3 linked regions of the Schizosaccharomyces pombe genome follow. The protein of the gene in region 1 interacts with the protein of each later gene in a pairwise test. Each region holds a gene or a part of one and is shown in the gene's direction. Other genes may lie near its edges. The genes, in order: arp1, jnm1 and mug5.

What was found.
Region 2: the proteins of arp1 (region 1) and jnm1 interact in a two-hybrid assay, tested with the Schizosaccharomyces pombe proteins (one study listed by BioGRID).
Region 3: the proteins of arp1 (region 1) and mug5 interact in a two-hybrid assay, tested with the Schizosaccharomyces pombe proteins (one study listed by BioGRID).

Annotation. Positions count from the first base shown.
Region 1 is NC_003423.3:4,082,130-4,089,844, forward strand, and holds arp1 (centractin family actin-like protein Arp1), read left to right. Parts: upstream 1-1,807; coding exon 1,808-1,824; intron 1,825-1,867; coding exon 1,868-1,898; intron 1,899-1,967; coding exon 1,968-2,032; intron 2,033-2,071; coding exon 2,072-3,098; 3' UTR 3,099-3,219; coding exon of another isoform or gene 3,220-3,347; 3' UTR 3,348-3,379; downstream 3,380-7,715. Other genes in the region: protein sro1, read left to right, coding at 78-398; SPOM_SPBC1347.14C (uncharacterized protein), read right to left, coding at 150-515; mrm1 (ribose methyltransferase), read right to left, coding at 3,220-3,347, 3,391-3,664, 3,711-3,926, 4,022-4,309; ilv5 (acetohydroxyacid reductoisomerase), read right to left, coding at 4,750-5,964; homoserine O-acetyltransferase Met6, read right to left, coding at 7,150-7,189, 7,232-7,715. UniProt on the Schizosaccharomyces pombe protein: Core component of the dynactin complex which assists cytoplasmic dynein by increasing its processivity and by regulation of its cargo binding.
Region 2 is NC_003421.2:1,452,674-1,460,656, forward strand, and holds jnm1 (dynactin complex subunit dynamitin), read left to right. Parts: upstream 1-3,539; 5' UTR 3,540-3,762; coding exon 3,763-4,818; 3' UTR 4,819-5,182; downstream 5,183-7,983. Other genes in the region: cbl1 (cystathionine beta-lyase), read left to right, coding at 569-1,741; gpi8 (pig-K), read right to left, coding at 2,143-3,285; PPR-repeat protein ppr6, read left to right, coding at 5,188-6,519; nucleoside diphosphatase Ynd1, read right to left, coding at 7,836-7,983. UniProt on the Schizosaccharomyces pombe protein: Required for correct meiotic chromosome segregation.
Region 3 is NC_003424.3:5,240,014-5,247,272, forward strand, and holds mug5 (protein mug5), read left to right. Parts: upstream 1-3,039; coding exon 3,040-3,597; 3' UTR 3,598-4,101; downstream 4,102-7,259. Other genes in the region: SPOM_SPAC14C4.07 (transporter), read left to right, coding at 779-2,713; cell wall glucan endo-1,3-alpha-glucosidase Agn1, read left to right, coding at 4,194-5,468; SPOM_SPAC14C4.10C (Nudix family hydrolase), read right to left, coding at 6,026-6,597, 6,660-7,077. UniProt on the Schizosaccharomyces pombe protein: Required for correct meiotic chromosome segregation.

The DNA of each region.
Region 1 (7,715 bases):
TTCTACACATTTCTATTTAATCACTGTTATTTTCTTTTCTTTTTAATTTCATCAATAAACATTTTTGATTCATCGCTATGTTTTCTATTCTTAAACAAGGTGTCATCTCCAAGTCTCTTTTAGCCGCTACCTCTTTAAAGGCAACGGCTTCAAGATTTTCCTTCTCTACTAGTGTTGCTTCCCGTGTTGACGGTACTAAGAATGGTTGGTCTTTTACCGCATCCAATGTTGCTGATCAAACCACCGATATCGGCATTAACTCTGAGTCGGCTATGAGCTGTAACGACCAAGAGCAACCTCTTTCCTTTTACGTTCAAACTGTCAGAGATGACTTGAACTCTCCTAATTGGGGAGCTGAGCAAAGAAAGGGTGCATTTGATTGGGAAGTAAGCGCTTAAACCCGAATATTGTATACAAGAAGAAAACCCGATTTCCGTTATGATCAGAAGAAAATAATAAAAAGGGAAAACAAAAAATTGGAAAATTGAATGTTTTATCTTATTCGATAAAAGCATTAAACAATCTAACAATGCAATCTTTTTTAATTCGTTATTTTCGCTTTTCTTTTTTTTTTACTCTTCTTGATGTAATTGTTAAGACATGGATTTTATTTTTATTTTTCTAAGGAATTTCGATTATTGGAATTCTTTTACCACCCCCATCCCTCTTTTTATTACCAGTTTCAACACATTGGTTCCCCTGCTTTAGAATGTTTATCGATATAAGCCGTGAACGGTTCCTTGCTTTTACCATTTTTAAATGAGGCAAGACATATGTATTATTAGTTTATACCCCCAAGACTTGTTAGTCTTTATATTATTAGTTTGTCTACTTGTTGACTATAATGATAGTCGCTGATAAAGTTGAAGTTTCCACCTTAATCTTTGTTATTTTATATCCAATTCGCCATGGTCACATTGATTTGATTGAATTTTCGGTTGCTGGATTACAAAAAAGAAATGCCAAATGCGATACAACTGTTACATTTAGATTCAGAATAGGAAATTGTTTGTATAATTAAAAAATAGAAATTGTTTATTTTAATACATTACTACTGATTAATGAGTAGATGAATGGTGGAAGATTGTAAACAATTATGAAGACAAGGTCAGCATTGTCTTTCCGTCTAGCTAAGAAGCAACCCGATGTGCAATTTATAAAGTAGTGCGGTTTAGTGTTGATACGTTATCTTTTTGATAGTTTGATTAGTTATTTCGAAAACACGTTAAAAATGCAGTGAATTTTGTACAGTCTTCTTTACAATCCATTCAACAACAATTACGAGTACGAGCGGCTTTATGATGGGTCTAACCAAGATGTAAACATAACCATTATTAAGCATATACTACAATTCAACTGAAGAAACAAATTCAATCGAAAGGGTTGTCGTAATTTCTTTATATGGTTTTCATTCAAAAAGCCTATTGAATGAAACAACTTATGTATGATAATTGCAGGGTATAGTGATACATAACGAAGCTTAATACTGCTAAGTTTCTTGTCAAGCATGCTACTTTCTTTAGACAATTCCCAATTGCTTTAACTAATAGCTGTTAGTGACCAATTTCCATTGGTTTAAGGTATTTTTTTAAAAAATTGGTACGATTGTTGTTCCTCCTGTTAGTATAAAATTTCTTGGCAAAGCCCAAAACCTTCAAAGTTGCGTCTTCTATTACTGTTTACCCGCCATTTCCTTCATTATTGCTAGTGCTCTCAAATTTCAAGCCGCTTAAAGAATAATTTAAACCCTTAATAAAACTTTCTTTTAAAACCTCCGAGTCTCAACTTTGATATTTCAGCTTTTTGGATGACTGTTACTGAAATGTGCGTGTCTTTTGAAAGAATTCTATTTATTGACGCGTTTTAGCTTTGATAATCAGCCGATATGTATCGACAATGTATGCCAGACTCTTTTTAGCCGGCTATTTCCTGTTAAACTGTCTAGTTATATTGACAAAACTATCTAGGGCTCTGGATTTATTAAAGCTGGATTCGCTGGCGATGATATTCCCAAATGCCTTTTTCCGACTTGGTATGAAGTTTATTTCTCATACTAGATACTAATATACAGTGTTGGAAGAATTAAGCATGAGCGTGTCATGCCAAGTAGTATCCAAAAAGATATGTTTGTTGGTTCTGAGGCTCAAAATCTTCGCGGGTTGCTTAAAATTCAACGTCCAATTGAACGGGGAATCATCCAAAATTGGTCCGATATGGAAGAGATTTGGAGCTATATTTATTCAGATCAACAGCTCAATACTTTACCGGAAGAACATCCCTTGCTTTTAACCGAACCTCCTTTGGCTAACATCCGAAACAAAGAAAAAATTGCAGAGTATTTTTATGAAACGTTAAACGTTCCAGCATTGAGCTTTTCCTTGCAGCCTGTATTGGCACTGTATGCCTCCGCACGTACAACTGGCATTGTTCTTGAATGTGGAGATGGCTTGACTCATAGTGTTCCTATTTATGATGGGTTTTCCATTCCATCAGCTATACAACAAGAGGAAATTGGAGGTCGTGACGTTACAGATTATTTGCAATTGCAACTTCGAAAATCTGGCCACGAACTCGTCAGCTCGGCGGAGAAAGAAATTGTCCGGGAAATTAAAGAAAAATGTTGCTACGTAGCATCTGACTTTAGATCAGAAATAGAATCATGGACTGAACACAAACCGCAGATTCATACATATCAACTCCCAGACAACCAAACTATAACTTTGGGTACAGAATGCTTTTCTGCGCCTGAGGTTTTATTCAACCCGGAAATGATGGGTTCTGAGGCGTCTGGTCTTCACATACAATTGTTCAAGTCTATTTTATTGTCCGACATCGATTTAAGGTCAACCTTATATTCAAACATTGTACTTTCTGGAGGTTCAACGTTATTGAGAGGATTTGGGGAGAGATTCATCTCTGAGTTACGTGCAATTTCTGGGAAAAAAAATCAAGTTAAAATTTATGCTTCCCCTGAACGTATGCATAATGCTTGGCTTGGCGGCTCAATATTAGCCAGTCTAAGTACATTTCGTCGGCTTTTAATTACTTCAGAGGAGTATAAAAATGATCAAAACGTAATTTTTAGGCGAAGATTTTGAAACTTAAAACGAGTATTGCAGTTTATCGCTCTTCATTTGAAACTTTTAAAACCAATATTACATTGTACCAGTCTAAAGCTTTAAAATTTGGTATATCTTTTAAACAATCAGTCTAATATTTTCAATTCACTAAGCTATACAAAAGAATACCAGCAGCTACTGAGACGTTTAATGAATCAACGTATTTATCACCGCCGGGAATTGAAACATAATGAGAACATTGCGTTAAAATGTTCGTTCTTAAACCCTCTTTATAAAGTTAGCAATAAAGGCATTCATACAATACACTTACTTTCACTTCCTAGTACAAGTATTTTCGGTTCATTCATTAGTTCTGTTTTGATTTTATGCGGGGTGTAAATTTGATCTTTGTTATCTGGCAAAGCTGGCTTGGTCCCTATGACTTTCCAACCTTTTAAAACTGAGTTCCTCAAAAAGACCATAGGATTTTTCACGTGGCTAATGTTGAAGACTTCAAGAGCTCCAGCTGAAGCTTTACTAACGACCGGTGACAAGAATGTATTATGTTTTTTTGATAATAAAATCCCTTTAGCGCCTAAAATATACTTAAACCCAATTAGAAATTTTAAATAGTAGCAAACGATAGCTTACAGCGCTTCGAATAACGGCACCCATATTTTGAGGATCTGTTATACCGTCAACGTAAACATAAAGTGGAGGATAGTTATCGGACGATGAGCTTTTACCCTCATTCAAATCATTATGTGGAGAATCCTGCCCATTTTTGTTGTTGTACTCTTCCCCAGCTGGGAAAAGTAAATCTGATATTGTTGGAACATTCAACGAGGATGCCTCCAAAACAACCCCCTAACATGTTAGTGAGAATACAAACACAAGTGCATTTTCGGTGTCTTGTAAAATCGTAAAGGGTTATGGACCACAAAAATTCTCAGAAAACGTACATTGTGAGGTCGGCATGCTGTGATTTGATTTAAATGTTCTTTATTCACACTTTTTATTGGTATTTTGTACTGTAGTTTGTTCAAAAATTCTTCAAATTCACTATGAATGTCAGCATTTTGAACATAAAGTGCTCGACATTCTCTTTTGCGCGTTGCAAGGGCATTTTTTACTGAATGCGTTCCAAATACGAATTCCGAATCCTCTTTAATTAACCGCCGCTCCTTGGACAAATGCGCTTTGGCTTTTTTGGGCACCTCGCGTGCTAAATTAACACGACTTCGTATCATTTTCGTGGTTACAAATAAGTAAAAACTTACTAGTGTCGTTTCGTAATTAGCATACACTGGATATTGTGATGTTCAAACCAAATAAGGATTTTGTACAAAAGTTTTAGTCTAAAAACACAAAATATTAGCAACTTTTACATAGTAAGCGGAAAAAGAATTAAGTATAAACTAAAAAATGAGAATTAAATTGGTTTAAATACAACATAATATTATATGATTAGACGAGAAGATTGAATAATATTTAAAACTTTAAAGAAGTTACCATCATGCACCAAAGAAATTAACTGATGTAAAAAAGTGTACAAGAGATTATGACATGAAGGGCAAAGAAATATACAAAATCATTATTCGAATAGCCAATGGATATTTAAACCGAAATGATTAATATGAAACAATATATAACCTAAAATTTAAAAAGTATATGAATATTCTTAAATATTCTAGTGCTTGTTGTGTTCAGGACGGAGAGAACGAACAACCTCACCAGCCTTCCAGATTTCCAAGTTGCGGATTTCCTCCAACTCCTTATCGTAAAGCTCACGGTAGTTGGGAGCAGAGTTGTATTCCAAGGAACGCTTAGCCTCGTTACCGTTCTCAACATTGTCATACAATTCATTAAGGACCTTCTTGTTAGCCTCAAGGAAACGAGGAGTCCAGTCAATGGCACCACGACGAGCGGTGGTAGAGCAAGCGGCAAACATGTAGTCAAGACCGTACTTGCCAATCAAGGGGTAAAGGGATTGAGTGGCCTCTTCAACAGTCTCGTTGAAAGCCTCAGCAGGGGAGTGACCACGTTCACGCAAAACTTGGTATTGAGCCAAGAAAAGACCGTTGATACCACCCATGAGACATCCACGCTCACCAACCAAATCGGAGATAACCTCCTTCTTGAAAGTGGTTTGGTAGATGAAACCGGAACCGACGGCAACAGCCAAACCAATGGCCTTTTCTTGAGCCTTACCAGTAACGTCTTGGTAAACAGCGAAGGAAGAGTTAATACCACGACCTTCCTTGAAAAGGGTACGAACGGTACGACCAGAACCCTTGGGAGCGACAAGGATAACATCAACATCCTTAGGGGGGTGAATCTTAGTTTGATCCTTGAAGATGACGGAGAAACCGTGAGAGAAGTACAAAGTCTTACCCTTGGTAATAAGGGGAGCAATCTTGGGCCAAGTCTCAGTTTGAGCGGCATCGGACAAAAGGTTCATGATGATAGAACCCTTCTTGATGGCCTCCTCGACGGGGAACAAAGTCTTACCAGGGACCCAACCGTCTTCAATAGCTTGCTTCCAGGAAGCACCATCCTTACGGACACCGACAATAACGTTCAAACCTTGATCACGAGCGTTCAAACCTTGACCATGTCCTTGAGATCCGTATCCAATGATGGCAAGAGTGTCGTTCTTGAAGTAGTCAACAAGCTTTTCACGAGGCCAGTCAGAACGCTCCCAAACGTTCTCCTTGGTACCGGCAAAGTCCATAACACGCATACCGCGAGTTTGCATCAAAGGGGCGGTCATGCGAGGCGCAAAACGCATGCTGGGGGCAGCAATGGTGCGAGCCATAACAGACATGCTACGAGTAGCCAAACGACGGCTACCCATAGTACGCAAGGCCTTCATGGCCATTCTAGAGGAATTACGGAAAGACATTTTTTACCCAAAAATTTTTGATTTGGAACTGGTGTTCTTGGCAAGTATCTCTTCTAGATATACTGAATTTCTCTCTACTGCTTTGTGACTGCTTCTTGTGCTTCCGTCTAAGTAACAGCTGATGGAAAAGAAAGATAACGTAGCGGCTTGTATTGTGTTATAAAAATGTAAACAAAACCACCAGAATACTCCTTTTTCAAGTTTAACAAGATTTTTATCATGTCCGGTGTAAAGGCACGTGAATATAGAGCTTTGTGTTCTCGAAATAAGCACTTTCATAAATGATTGACCCAGTATGTTGTGATGTAAACCATAGCTTGGATACGGTCGGTGCGTTGTTTTTCCTCATGACCGGCAAGGATCTGTCGCTAACTCTACGAACCCGGAAGAAGCAATCTTGATTTTGCCCCAGATATCCGCTTCCTAGTCCGAGTTCCAATAATCTTATCCTATGCTGTATTGCTCTCTCTTCATACCACGGTGGATTGCTACATTTGTTTTTCCATAGTATATCGAATTGTATTCTCTTTATCCACGAAATAAAACTTTCAACAAAAAAAAAACAAAATAGTTTATTAAACATTGTTTTTATAAAATCTATATATTAAACACTGAACGACTGTAAATCCCATCAACAAACGCTTCATAGAATTTTTTTTGGTGGCATTAAAAAAGAATTAGTCCCCATGTTGGAGGGGTGAGAATGTAATTTTCAAATTTCATATTGTGGCAAAGTGATTTCGCTAGATACAACTGGAATATTTCCATATACGCATCACTCTTCAAGAAGATGCATATCTATCCAAGAATCGGTTAGACGAATGCAGAAAGGGTTGAAATAGGTTTAACAAGGTTTTGGCAATTTCTATCAATGTATACTACATTTTCTTCTTTCTTAAAGAAAGGCATACAAGGAAACCATCCAGCTCAATCGCTCTCTAATTCACTGCCCGCAGGAACCTAAATTGACAAAACAATAAGAAAAGAAAGGTGGAATGAGAAGTTGAAAAGCTAACGAAAAAAACCATGTTTTGAAAATTAACATCCTTTTTAAATAAAATAGTCATAATATACGTTTCAAGCTCATTAACGAAAGTGATCGTGTTTATACATGAGGAGTTGAATCCTCAAGTTGACTAAACTAGCACACGATCTTTCTCCCCAGGCCGTTGGTCCGTAGGATACTTATACCACTGTAACACCAGGATGGTAACCAGTAGGATAACTATTGGTAAGTTATCAACAATCCTAAAAACACTTTACTTACCAGGAGGTTATGTCTTCCATTTCTCCAAAAACGCTTTCGCGGTTGGTATCATTAACTTGGGAATCAAGTCGCTCAAAGGAATTAGTTTGAGACATGATATCAATTAAATGTTCCTTTTGGAATTTTTGAATATGTGAGTTTACTTGAGTAAACTCAAGCAAAAAACCGTCGTGGCCTTCGGCCGAAATAATTTTTTCCAAGGTAGCATTGGGAAAAGATTTGGCAATTTCAACTTGTTCGTCAAATGTGAAAAGACCATCGCTTTCAATACCGAGTACGAGTACGGGTAAAGACAAATCCTTCATGACTTCCTTAGGAGAGTCTGAACCGCGTCCACGAGTAATATCATGGGTGTCCAACTTTTTAGTAATCGAAATGTAACAATTAGCATCAAAGCGACTTACAAACTTCTTCGCTTGGTAACGTAAATACGATTGCGCAGAGAAGTAAGTATTAGCAGGACGTCTTAATAACGAACTCTGGT
Region 2 (7,983 bases), on another chromosome or scaffold:
CGTTACCTAAACATATTGCCATATTGCAGTAGACGTTTGTGTTATTAGCTGAATTTTTCAAATGTTTACATCGTTTACTCGTTCAGTACCCAGTGGTTAGCTATAAAAGTTATTTTGCTAGCCTCATCTGACTAAACAGAGGAAAAACGCTATATTACATTTGTCTATCGATTCGTATACGTTTCCATCAGTAAAATCGAGCATATAATCGGCAGCATAAAAATCGCAAAAGGGGTCAGGGATATTGGTCGTTCTCGCTCGTCTAATGTTATCTGTTTATTGTAGCGATTATCAAACATTTTTTACAATTAGGAAGCTTCAAAAAGTACATAAATGACCATCTACTGCCTGATAATCATTGTTAGTTTGTTTGCCAATTTCTAGGTCTTAATACTCGTCCTAAAAATTTAATTTTGCAACATCTGTTTTTGTACACCTTTTATTGAATTTTGGTATCACTGTTTCTTATTAAGAAGAAAAGATTTGTTCTTCGCTTCATATCTGTATCTACTATACTCTCATATTGCCTATTTTATCTTCCTAAATTTTATCTTCCATGACCATCACTATGCCCAGCGATTGTAAATATTCTGTCGATACCGAATTGGTACATGTTGAAGGCAATGAAGACCAGTATCATGCGTCTTCAGTCCCAATTTATCAATCAGCTACCTTTAAACAGCCATGCTTAGAGCATATGGGCAAATTTGATTACACTCGTTCCGGTAATCCTACTCGCTCTGTTCTTCAAGTGCACTTGGCTAAACTTATGAAGGCGAAACATGCTTTTGTAACTAGCAATGGTATGTCCGCTTTAGACATGATTTTACGCTGCTGCAAGTCTAATAGCCATGTCGTTGCTGGCCACGATCTATATGGTGGCTCTGATCGCTTACTCTCTTTTAACCAAAGGCAATATGGATTTAAAGTGGATAACGTTGATACTTCTGACTTGGCAGCCTTTGAGGCAGCTTTGCGCCCAGACACAAACTTGGTTTTGATTGAAAGTCCTACTAATCCCCGTATCAGCATTTGTGATATTCGGGCTATTGTTAAAATAACTCGTTCAAAAGCCAAGGATGCCTTATTGGTAATGGACAATACTATGCTTTCTCCTGTCCTTTGTAACCCTTTGGACTTTGGTTATGATATAGTTTACGAGTCGGCCACAAAGTATCTCTCAGGTCATCACGATTTAATGGGTGGTGTCATTGCCACAAAAAGCGATGAGATTGCTAAATCTGTGTTTTTTAACATCAACGCAATGGGTGCTGCTATGGCTCCCTTCGAATGTTTCCTTCTGTTGCGCGGTATTAAAACGATGGGATTGCGTGTTGAACGTGCACAGCAGAATGCAATAGAAATTGCCAAATTCTTAAAGAGCAAGGGACTTCAGGTCAACTTCCCTGGATTAGACCCTGACGCTAAGTCAACCGCAATCTTTTACTCCTTTGCACGTGGACCAGGTGCTGTAATGTCTGTTTTTACTGGCGACGTTGAAGTCTCTAAAACTATTGTAAACACTACTAAGCTCTTTGAAATATCGGTTTCGTTTGGTGCTGTTAACTCTTTGATCAGTATGCCCGCTTATATGAGTCATGCTTCTATCAAGAAGGAGGTTCGAGACGCTCGGGGATTGAGTGAAGATTTGATTCGCATCTGTGTCGGCATCGAAAACGTCGATGATCTCAAGGCTGACCTCGAAAATGCCCTTGCTCAAGCAAATTTTAAACAGAATTGATTTCGTCTATGAAGGCATAGTGGTATTCACAACTAAGCTGGAGAAAGGGTTGCTTAAGTTACTAGTTGTGGTGCATATAGAATTTTAAATCATCAAATATTAAAATGATCGAAGTTTTGCTTAAAAACATCGCTTCATCCCTACTTACATATGTGTAAATTTTAATGGAAAATATTATTGAGATATTGACCGTATATAAATTATAATTAGTAATTGGCATTAGCCTACGCTTCCTAAGATGAAGCAAAAGCATTTTGAGTAACATTAGTCCTCGAATTACTAGGGATGATCCAAGTCTACAAAGAAACCAATCCAAACGTTTGAAATGTACTTTGAAATAGAAGATAAATTAATGTGTTAATGAATGTCATAAAAAACGTGAGAAACCCTGTTTGAAACGCCTATTTCAGGTACTTACTGGCATAGTACGGAAAACCAATAGAGAAGGAAATACACACAACAGCGGAGATAATTCGAGAAATAGGATGTTTTTTGTATTTAAGTTCTCTGGTTGGTGGAAGAAAACTCTTTAGATTTGAAATACCAAAACCTTTACCGTCATCCTGCATGTCATTTTGTGCCTGAAATACGAAACTATTTCTTTTTATTGATGGTTTGGTAGTGTTTTCACCGGGCAACATCCAATTTATTTTTTCACTGTGCAATTCAATGTCACGAACGTTTCCAAAGAAGTCCGTTATTAAAATGTCATCCGGGCTTCTTCGTAAGTTGATGGGTTGGACACCAGGTGTAGAATGAATTTCATACGGATTATAGGAGTTGATCAAATCCTGCATAGTCAATTTGCTTTTACTATCAACCCTATTTTCTAAGAATTCCAAATTAGAAAAGGTGAAGCGATCGATCACTGCAACTCCAATATCGATATCAGCATGATGGGAATAAGAAGAAGTTCCCACTTCACTGCTACCAATTGCCAAGACGTTTGGCGAATAGATTTTTGTATACAAAGAATTTGCCTGGCATGTATCTACCATAAATAGGATTTCATTGTATCTCTTGTGTTGATGTATTTGCTCAATTGCATCAGCAAGGTCCTCAGAACTCAATTCTTCAGCATCTTGAAATTTAATAAAACCATCGCCTCCATGACCTGTCATATAAATTAGGATATTAGATCTTTCGTTTGTCAATAATCGTTTGCTGGCTGGTGTATTTTCAGGGACTCTCTCTGTCAACAATCTGATAAACGCTTCAACAGTAACTTCATAGCCCTTATAATCAATTTCAATTTCTTCTCCATACAAATCTAATGCTCTATCTGCATTATCAAAAACTGTTCCTGGAAACAAATTTCGAGAGTTGCAAGCGTAGTCGTCAGCTATCATCAATATAATTTGACTGTCTGGGATTCCAAGACGCTTGACTGATCTGTATATTCCTAAAACATTCGCAGTATGTCTGTAGTTGAACCAAAAACGCGAGGTAGAAATTAAGACGGCCCAATTATTTGTATGCGAACTTTCTGCAGCTATTATTTGCAGCAAATTGAGCAGCAAAAGTGCCACAAACTGAACAATCATTAAGAATGCTACTCTTCAGTTGTTGAAATTAAATAAACATAAAGCCGTTTAGTAGTATCACGTTTATACAACTTTGTGACAAAGCGTAATGTTTGAGCACGATATTAGCATGTAAAGTTTTTACACGTTAATTCAGTAAACGATTCCTGCAAATAATTCAAAAAAAAATTATCAAGCCCTTTTATTGGTATATGCAGATGTAAAGTTCGACTTTGTTGTGCTTACTCGCTTACCTACTATGGTGCTCCCTTGCTAACCTGCACTTGCTTGCGACTAGAACTGTATTTTATCGAAGTAATAGTGCTCACTATAAAACATCAAGAAATTTATTCTATAAGAAAACACCTATTATTTAAGGAACTGAAACCAAATAAAACCCCTAAACCATCGATTACTCCCGAAAAATATCAAACGTGTAAGCATATGATCTGAGATACGCCTTTAAGCAATTTCGTTTACTGATAGTAATTAAAAAAGATGAAAGAAATGATTAATCTAGACAGCTCCTCTGAACCCAGCATCGTTACAAAACAATTCTCTGTAGAAGAATGCTTGAGTAAACTTAAAGAGCAACATTGCTATGTACCGATGAGAACAATTGGTCGACTAAGACTCAGGAAATCTTCCGATCAAACTGAAAAAAAATGTTGGAAAGAGAAACTAATGAAAATTCGCAGCGAACTTGAAGAATTATGGGAGCAGTCGATGATGTACGAAGAACAGAAGGAACTTACTCAATTAGGGGAAATGTTGGATAGATTGTGGGATAAACACATAAACAGTGAAGGGTCAAAGTCAGAAACTATCAGTGACACTGCCATTAGTGGTAATGATGATACTATGGAAAAGAGACTTGAACAATTTTCAGATGACACTTTGCAAGATACCCTGGAAACGGAAAAAAATCTTAACAGTAAAACTTCTGAGTCCTTGAAGTCACCAACTCTCTCATATCCGTTCGATTTGGATAGCCTTGACAAACGGATATTCAAACTAGAATCAAAAATAGGGTATGCTGATGAACCGCTTAGCGAGCTTTTAAACAAATGTATGGAAAAACTTGAAATTGTTGAGCAGGATCCTCAATTTTGGCAATCCCGAATTGAATCATGGAAGCAATTACTTGCTAAAGATTTTTTGAAACACCATGAAAGAAATCTTTGTTCAATAGAGAAACAAACGACTTTAAAAAACTCTTCGTTAAAGGAATTGTGTACGGAAGAAGATATTGTTATCATGTTAGAGATTTGTTCTTCCCAACTTCCCTTCGTTGAACAGTATATGCCCATATTACCATTGTTGTTAGAACGGCTAAAGTCTTTACAGAATATGCACACCGATGCGGCTGAAGCAATTAGCAGTTGGCAGGGTTCAAAAGATGTAATGATGACTATGCAGTCTGAGTTGAACGAATGGAAAAATACAGTTGAACGCCTTGATCATTCAAAATTTTACACACAAAGCGTAGAAGAGATGAGGAGATTATCTGACACTGTCACACAGCTTGAAAAACGCGTTTTAAAATTGCAATAGGATAGTGCTATTGAATTTTTACGCTGCATTTCTTTGTTCTGAAGTTTTTGGACGTAAGTCTTGAACGTTAAGGAATGAGAGTAAACAAAAATTTCCTAATTTCCTATATCAAAGAAAAATTTATTTGCGATAGTATCAGAAGCTTCGTACAATTTCTGTTTTTGTTACTATATGCGTTTCATCGAGTATGCAAATAATTACATTTATTTCAGGAATATTGAAACCTAATTACTTCACAAAAAGCAATATACTTTTCACTAACCTTTGCTTCTTGTTCAAATACAGAATTGTCATAGATTTATTTGAAGTAGCTAGTTGCGTTCTACCGACCACCAGAAATTACCATTCGGTTCGCTTTCATGTAGCAGGATGCGAATTTTGGGTTCCTTACCAAATAATATAAGAAAATGTACATTTAAGTTAATTCTACAAAAACGATATTCCCATACCGACATACTTAAGGAACTACTGTACGATATAAGTGATTCACAGAAATTTATACCTTCGGCATCTCCCATCGCGTCTAACTTATTACGGGTATCTTCTTATGGAAAATTATCCTCCTTGTTTATTGAATATTCTAAAGCACGTTCAAAAAAAGAGTTTGACCAACTCAGAACTTCGGATTTTCAATCAATATTACGGTCCGTTGTTTGTCCCAAAAATGGAAAAAACATCCGACATCGTGATCGTGATTTAGTTTCTTTACAAATTAAGCTAATCCTTCAAGATGCTGATCGTTTGGGAATTCAATTTAACATTGTTGACTATACCCATATTTTACGGGTTGCAATGTATACTGGGAACAAGCATATACTTGAATATATAGTAGCAAGAGTAAAGGAGAAAAGAATCCGCCCAAGTGTCGATTACTTTAATGCAATTCTCGGTGTAATTGGGGGAAACAGATGGTCGCTTTCTAAATTCCAGAGTCCTGCTTTTAGAGGATCACCGGTAACGGAACCTGTCTCTGGTAAAATGCTTGATATGATTGAAGTCGATTTTCCAAATTACGATTTGGTACCTAATTCTACTACATATGATTATCTGATGGTGGGTTTATCTCGAGATGGAAAGATTCGAGAGATTTACGATCTTATAGATACCGTTTGGGGGATAAACGAAAATTCATCTAGTAAAAAAGTTGACTGTGGAAACGTTACATTTCCTACACATCATACAGTATTTTCAATCATTTCTGCATTAGGATATTTAGGTGATGTCTCAAGTGCAGTATCTCTGTCAAGGAAGCTTACTTCTGTTTATAAAATTAATTTTCCTGAGTTAGCCTGGCGCTACATAATATATTGGTCCATTGCATCTTTACAATTTAGAGCTCCAGCTGGTCATGCACGAATAAAAAATATTGAGCTTTTCATTCGTTTGTACTCTCAAATGTATAGGCATTGTGTTCCAATAATTGAGATATACGATACATCAATTAAATTTTATATGAAGCATGGGCGATTCGGGTTGCTAGAAAAAGTCTGTGAGAGTTGGACTAAACAATTTCTAGGATCATTGGAAAAGCAAAACAACGAAGTCAAGAAAAAACATTTACAACTTCTCGAAAAGCAAATATCGAAATTGATGAGATATGCAGAAACTGAACGACCTCATGATACTAAACGAGTTTCGGTTAAGTGGTCAAACGTGTTGAACCAAATTCATTCATCCGTAGGAGATCCTGCTAAACCTTGATGATCTATCCATTCACACTGTACATTCCTTATTAAAAATTTATCCCTTCTTTTTTCTTATATTTATTTCTCTGCTTCTGGAATTTGAGCAAATCCGTAAATAACGGTGTCTAATGTCATTTAGTAAGTCTAAAAGTGTCTAGGCATGCATTTTCTTTAAAGGTTTTAGAGGACTATCGAAAATTGGTTCTAATCGCAAGTTAGGGAATGTTGATGTTAAAAGTTCTGGTTTTTTGTTATGACGAATAATATGTTATCCTTTGACAAATATTATATCGATATTAATTAATGTGCCCTTTTTAGTAATCAAAGAACTCCAGAATTGTTGTACTTGTTAAGTTACTTAAAAAAAATTTAAGTAAAATTTTTTTGCTAGCATCTTAAAAAACTAAAGATTCAATGTCTTGTTGTGCATCACAATTTCTGAGTACATAACTACTGATGCTTGAGGGCTCTAATTTTCAAGCTAAATCAATAAATTTGTAAAGACTATTAAGGTCGTCATGATTTTTTAAGACTCTTAACACTATTTAATTGCCTACCGACGCATTAAAATGCTCTTTCGTGAACTAACAAAGACTTGGGTCTTTTTTGTTCAAATAAGCTACACTTCAAATGCTAGTTTTTTAAGAAAATTTATGGAGATTCTACTTTCAAAATTATTTATCTTGCAGATTTAGAATGTTCGAATTAGGCAGATTAGTTATATTCAATGCATAGGATGAATCATAAAAGTTGCTTCACTTTGATATTATTTAATATAGCTTCATTTGTTTGAGTTCGATATATTAAGATACAGATTGCTCTTTTTTATCATATTAACAAAGGTTGAAAAGAGGTCTTGATTGTAATGGTTTAAAATTTAAAATAACTAACATATGTAATTTTCCATACATCAAACATGTTTTACCTTAGGGGTTGCTATATTTAGTTTACCCAATTCAACTATATGCTTTATCTCAAATTTAATAAAATCGATGATGATTATTATGCTAACTGCCACAAGCGGTTAGAAGAGATATGACTCAAATATCGCAAGTGTAAAATGGACATTTAGGAGTTTTTGCTGACTTGATAAAAATATTCATACGAGTAAACAAAGGACTGGCACGCCTACATAATGTTGAGACGAGTGATTAATATGGTTTGGTTAATTAGGTGTATTATGAATGAAAGAAGTACTGAAAGTGAAATAGAGAAGCAACTGAAATTCACAGCTTTCTCTTTAAGAACGAACGAAAAAATGACAAAAAAGCTAAAAGAAACATATAAGTGCAGCAGAAAGCTGTCCATCCCTAAAATTACGGGTAAAGAATATTAAGGAAAAGGGGATCTAGGCGTTCTCTCTCGACTAGCAGTAAACGAAAGTCTGTCTGCGAGAACATGGCTTGAAGTGGTACGTATCGGGGGTCCATGCCACTTAGAGGGACTGCTCATTTCTAAATCATCAGAAAAATCTGCTATA
Region 3 (7,259 bases), on another chromosome or scaffold:
GAAGAAAGAATACAATCACAAAAATATGTTCACAGACAAGAAGTTGGCAAATTTGCCGTTCCAAAAGAAATAAACTTCCTATAGATGATGCGTTCGGAGAGCTTCAATGGAATACGTAGACTAAAGGTAATTTCTAGTAGCAATAGTTATATTGATACTGCAAGCCGTAAGTTAAAATACAGCAAGAGCCTCAGTTCAAACGTAAGTGGAATATAAGAAATATCTTTCACAGTAAGAACAGAAAGAATTAATAAATAGCATAAAATAGCGAGTTTGCTAATTTTTTTTCGAATATTATACCCAATTTCACTATAAGAACTATTCAACGACTAACGATGACACTATAACGCCACAACGTAACAGCATTAATTAAACTAGTCCAGAATCTAAGCGTCTAATATATATACATCTAAAGGCTTAGCCAACTACAAAGCAATTACATTGCATTGTCATTTTGGAATATAGTTATTTCTTCATAGTAACTAGTAGTTCAAAATTACTTTCTCGAGCAAATATTTTCCTTCGGTTCTCAACCTTCTTAGTAGCACCAACTACCTAAAGTCTTCTAATTATCTCGAAATCGAAAACGTTGTGAAACGTATATATTGCATATAGAAAAATTTTTAGGATATAGGTGCAAGGAATTTTACAATTGATGCTGCAGTTTGAGGGCAACGAGTTAATTGATTATTGCGAACATTTCGAGTAGAAGAGTATTTGGGTTATAATTTACATTCTATTTTATCAGCGTACCCACCATTTTGAGAAGGAGCTACAAATGTCTTCACACGATGATGATCATACTCCATTACTAATTTCCGATCCGTCAGTGAACAAGCCCTTTCGATCCAGAACTCCTTCACCAGAAAGAGAATACTGTTCTGATTGTCCTTTGCAAGCTAAAGGTTCTGCATGCAACGGTAATTCTCATTCATTAAAGCATGAAACCAATGGTGCCAGTTCAAGCAATAATAACGTTGCAAAGTCAAGCTCGCATGACTCATTTAAGGCGAAGCCTAAAAATTACGACTCTACCTCCAATTCTAATGAACCCATCTCTTTCAATGAACCAGATTCATCTAATTCTCATCATAATAATGAATCTATATGTAACAATGATAACTGTTGTCGTGAAATCGCCAGAAGACGTTCTTTATCTCCACTTTTGATTCTTCCATTAAACTTTATTAATGCCTTTTCTTGGGGCATGATTGAAATACCTCTGCTCTTTTTACTTCGACAGGAACTATGTGCCATTCATTATAACCTTGATCCTACACAGTTGTCCCCAGATGACCCAATATGCCGACTAGCGGAAATTACTACTGGTGTTTCAAAAGTCCGTGCCGCTTTTGGCTCTTTAGCCGCCTTTTTAGGTCTTTTTTCCACCGCTTATTATGGAACAATGGGGGATATTTATGGTCGCCGCCTTGTACTTTTCATTACCGTCTCATTTTTGCTGCTTGGTGATTTATGGCTTTTATATCAGTCCTATGCCCCCAAGCATCCATATTTTGTTCTTTTTGCTGCTGCCTTGAAAGGCTTAGGCGGTTATATTTCTACCGTTGTAGCCAGCCAAAATTCCTTTGTTGCAGATTGTTCTAAGACCGAGTTTCGTGCATGGTATTTAGGATTAAATTTTGCTGCTTACCATCTAGGAACCGCTTTGGGACCTAGTTTAAGCGGATTCATTGTGCAATACACTCCTCATATGTATTATGTATTTTATATTACTTCAACTTTTTGGATTATTTATTTACTTTACGTTTGGTTGATACTTCCAGAAAGCCTAGATGTTTCGGAAAGTAAAGAGCAGCAGAATAAAATATCTGGATTTTCCTCGATATGGAGATCATGCCTTGAGCCACTTATAATTCTTTGGCCTCGAAGTTTATGTACAGAGGAATCATGCGAATTCCATCAGTACGATATTAATGCTGATACCCATGCAGGAAGAAGACACTGGGACGTGTTACTTGCAGCAATATTGATATCTTTAACTTTACTCGGCGCTGGTTCAATGGGCTTATTGCCGCTTTATACGGACTATAAATTTGGCTGGGGTCCAATGAAGGCTAGCTTAATATTATCCACCGACTCTTTTGCTAGTTCAATCACATTAGTTGCGCTATTCCCTTTACTTTCTAAAGTTATCGAAAAAATAATCGAAAAGCTTTATTCTTCTGAAGGATTATTTGAAGATCCAAGTCGTGCAGACAATACCTCTTCCCTACAAGGGATTCGAAATGTTTTCTCTTATTTAGTTCGTCCTGGTTATTCACGTTCTAGTATATTGCGTGGTAGAACGGCTGACGAGAAATACACTATAGTTAAACGAGACGTTTGGAATGCACAGTTAGGCTATGCTATTGCTTTGAGTGCAGCGGTATTGTTAGCAGTTGCCAAATCCGATGTTGCACTTTTCACCGCTGTTATTATACAAGCCATCTCAAATATGGTTGTTCCTTGCGTACAATCTATTGCTCTTAATGGAGTCCAGTCCGAATATAATGGTCGAGTATTAGCTGCGTTTGCTGTTTTTGAAGCGGTTGCTTTGATCATTCGAGGCCCAATATATGCATTTGTATATACTGAGTCTATGAAAGTGTCATATCCTAATATGATATTCTTTTTGAGTGCAGTCATTTATGGTTGCTGCTTTATAATTATCTTCTTTATGAGACTTTATCGACCTTTAAATCGCAAACGTTGAAAATTCTTTTGACTCGATCGGAGATGGAAATCATTAAATTACTACTTAGAACTAACAAGTTTTGTGGGTGATTTTAGGATGAAATAACGGGTGGTGTTTGAACCGCTATTTATTCATTTACTAGACTAAGTTCAGACGCCTAATATTTTTCGATACAATTATTTATAAATTTTGAAGCTTAAATATCAACATCAGCGTTCATAATTGTGTATCTACTTTAGGATATTCAGCGTAATTTGTTAATCCTTTATTATACTTTAATTTTAAAAAAAACGCGTTTACGCGTAGTAGAGATAAAAGCCTGTGGCTTCTTCCTAATTCTCTATATGTGCTACCTAAGTAGAATGTCTAGTCAACAAATGCAGCTCACCATATCTGGATTTGAAAACAGAATTAAAATCCTAGAAGATTTAATGAATGAATTTGACAGCAATTTATACATTCGTTTAAAAAGAGAATGTGATTTTAAGCTTCCAAAAGAGTACGACGTGTCAATACATGCTTTAACTATACTGATGAAACGGCATTTATCAAATATGGAACCAATTGATTGTTACCAAGATTTAGATACTGGTACGTTGCAAACGATGTTGATATTTTGCTGCACTCTGCGTATGATTGAACATTACGAGAAAAGTCTATCAAATATAAACTTCTTTTCATTGTCAAATGATCTAAAACGCTTGGAAGAATATAATACCTCTTGTTCTGTACTACTGAGCTTGTATCAAAGACAGTTAAAAAAAATATCAACCACTATCGAGTCATATTACTTAGCAGATACACTTCGGCATAACCAAAATATTTTAAATTTATGTGAAAGGATTTATAATATCCAGAAACTTTTAAACAAGAGAGAGAAGGCTAGTGTTCTTCGTCATTAAAAAAATTTCATCAGACCTAACCTCTACCCCTTGTCTTGAACTGTTAAACTTATATCTGGAATCAAAGAACAGTAGTGCTTAAATACTTCTCACATGTTCAAAATAACAGTCATCTCTTAAATTTATGTTGTTAGACAATGGTTCTTTCGATCTTTATGGGTTTACTTTCTTTTGACAAATGTAAAGTTATGTGAAAAACTAAGGTGATAAGTGGATGGCGCGATTAAATCGCGAGCTTTTTTAACCAATTAATTTTATTTTTACAACTTTGATTATACTTATGAAAAGTTCGCCAGCCATGCTACACTTTTTCGTTCAATCTCCAGCCCATGCCAGCCACTAACACGAAATTCATGAATCCTTTCTTTGTATCGCTCAACCAAGAATATCTTATATAATATAAATATTTCAGGCATGTTTTACCCCGTTGATACTGACTTATCGCTGGTGAAGCGATAACTAATACCTCTTTCATTTATAATTTCTTTGTTTTTCGGCAGACAAAGGATATTGGAAGACAAAGGAAATTCGCACATCTAAAGCATCATTCTTCAAAGTATATATAAACCTTGTTGTATTTTATATATCGGAAAAAAATGAAGCTTGTGCTATTTCTGGTTCTTCTTTTTTCAGCGTTAATTAATTTGACTAACGCTGATAAGATGGTTGTTGCCCATTTTATTGTTGGCAATACTTATCCTTACACTGTTTCTAACTGGGAGGAAGATATCCAGGATGCAATCGCTGTCGGTATAGACGGATTCGCTCTCAATATGGGATCAGACGCGTGGCAGGTTGAGCGAATTGAAGACGCATATGACGCGGCAGCCAGCGTTTCCTCAGACTTCAAGCTTTTTATTTCTTTCGATATGAGTATTATTTCAGCAGATGCTGATTTTATTGAAGGTGTTGTTCGAAGATTTGCTGATAAGCCTAACCAACTGTATTATGATGGTAAAGTGTTTGTTTCTACATTTGCTGGAGAGACAGATACATTCGGTTATTCTGATGTTAGCACGGGCTGGGATTCTGCTGTAAAAGAGCCTTTAGCATCTGCTGGTTATCCTATATATTTTGTCCCAAGCTGGACCTCCTTAGGCCAAGGGGCACTGGAAGAAAGCGTTGCAGATGGGTTTCTCTCTTGGAACGCATGGCCCACAACGGATGCTGATATGAACGACAATGATGACATTGGTTACCAGAATCTTGCCAATTCTTTAGGCAAGTTGTATGTTGCACCAGTCTCGCCTTGGTTTTACACTCATCTTTCTTACAAAAATTGGGCCTATAAAAGCGATTGGTTAATTATTGATCGGTGGAATGAAATGCTATCTGTTCAGCCTGACATGATTGAGGTTTTGACTTGGAACGATTACGGTGAATCACATTATATTGGAAATATTCAAGGCGCCTTGCCGGCTGGTTCGGAAGGATATGTTGATGGGTTTGATCATACCGCATGGCGGTATTTGATGTCTCCATATATATCTGCATACAAGCTTGGTTTGTCAGAACCGTACATTAACTTTGAATCGTTATTTTATTGGTATAGACCGACTCCGAAATCTGCTACAGCGACCGCTGATAGTTTGTCGTATCCCTCCGGTGGTGATTATATGGAAGATGAAATATTTGTGCTTGTTTATCTGTTGCAATCCGCGGAAGTCACCGTAACATGTGGCTCTACAACACAAACATTCAGTGGTGTTCCTGGTGTGAACCAATTCACAATACCCATGGAAACGAATGCATCCCCTTCCTTCACAGTTGCTCGTCAAGGTGGTACCTTAGCCTCTGGAACGGGACCCGAAATTGTTGATTCCTTGTCGATATATAATTTTAATGCCTATACAGGTGTTCTGTACTTTTAGACTTCTAGTTTTGCTTTTTGTTATTTATTATAATCGGTCTGGGAGGATATAACGTACAGCATCTGGAAGGTCTGCTCGATTTCTTCGGTATTGCTTTATCAAAAAGGTTAAGCAATGTTGTAATAGACCCCTTATTTTTACTTTCGGGAACCATTTTTAATTATTTTCATTGTTTCATTTTAATCCATCCGGTCTATATATTTGTTGGTACTTTTATCTTTTTACCATTCATTTGGTTCTGTTGAAAAATTCATTATCGGATTGAAAATGTTCATCAAAATATTCATAACTTTTTCTGCTGGACAGGGTCTCTCGTTTTACTTTACTCCCAAGTTACTGAAATTTTTTACGTTCTATGGTCTGCTGGCAGTTACCTAATATTTTACAGCACTTATAATGTTAATAGATTGTGATTGTTATATATTTGCATATAAATTTCACGTACACTTTAAAAGGATGTATTTTAATAACTGCTCATAATGTAAGCAAAAATTGTTGGTTTAGAAAATGTCATATAAATAAAGAGGACAAATCACATAAACTTAAAAGACTTTAAGTTAAGATTTGTAGTAGGCTGAAATGATTAGAAATAGAAGATAAACCAGGAATAGACGAAATAGAAAGCCAACAAGTAAAGTCAGTTTTAAATAGGGATAATAACCATTAAGACATGTGAATACCCAATTCCCCCGTGGATATACTTGATGCAAGCGAAGCCTATAAAACTGAGTAAAAAAAGATGCTATAAAGCGCAAATCATAATGCTGAAAGTACGGTAGTGACCAACACAAACAATGCCTTGCCGATGAAGGGGAGAGAAAAATGAATAAGTCCACAAATATACTATGTGTGATACCCCGAAGAAAAGGGCGCTGATAGGGAGGAAGCGAGTAGGTAGCTGAGCTCGGATCAAATTCTAAACGTATAGCAGAATACATCAAGTTTCCAACAGCCAAATGAAAGAGAGTCTTTATAAACCTAGGATAAGTCTTTTTAAGTGCTCGTGAAGAATCTATTTGGATCCTAGTCTGGCATTCAGGCAAGAGTAGATCTGCCAATGGGTACCATTGAGCAGAAAATACTTCTGATTCTTGAAGTCTCAACGACGGCATATAGGGAAGAATAAATACTGTGGAAGTATAAAGTTAGAAACCTAAAAAAAACCGTTTGTTAAATAAATATAATACATACCAAAGGAAGATAAAAGAAGTAACGGAAATTGACCCCAATTAGAAGTGATTACACGTTCATCCAAAGCACCAACAAAATGTGCATGCTCTTTTCGTAAATCAATACCAACTTCCTCTAATGTTTCACGGTGTGCAGTTTGAATGTCTGATTTATCAGTCAAAGAGCGTGTGCCTCCTGGCAAGGCCATATGACCAGACCATCGATCGGTGTCTCGAAATGAGCGTTGAATGAGAAGTACATAAGGAACAGAAGTAATGGGAATACATTGAGGCCATTTTGGGTTAGAAAAATCTTGGGATTCTTTAAAAGCTATTATAACAGCTACCGAAGCCCTTCTTGGAGGAGCATTTGGTGTTACTCTCGGACAATATTCAGAAAGTAATTGTAGACCGGTTAATAAGTCCAATTCCAACTCCATATATTGTAAGCTCAATTTCCAAAAGAATTATTTTGTATTCCACTTATAAAGGAGTAAATCTTATTAGTGCTGTTGCTTCAGCTCCTAATAATTAAAGAAAGAAAAAAAAGTAAAAAATGGATAAATAGAAATTTGGATAATAAAATCTATTGTAAGGATTACCTCAACGGAAGTTTACAACA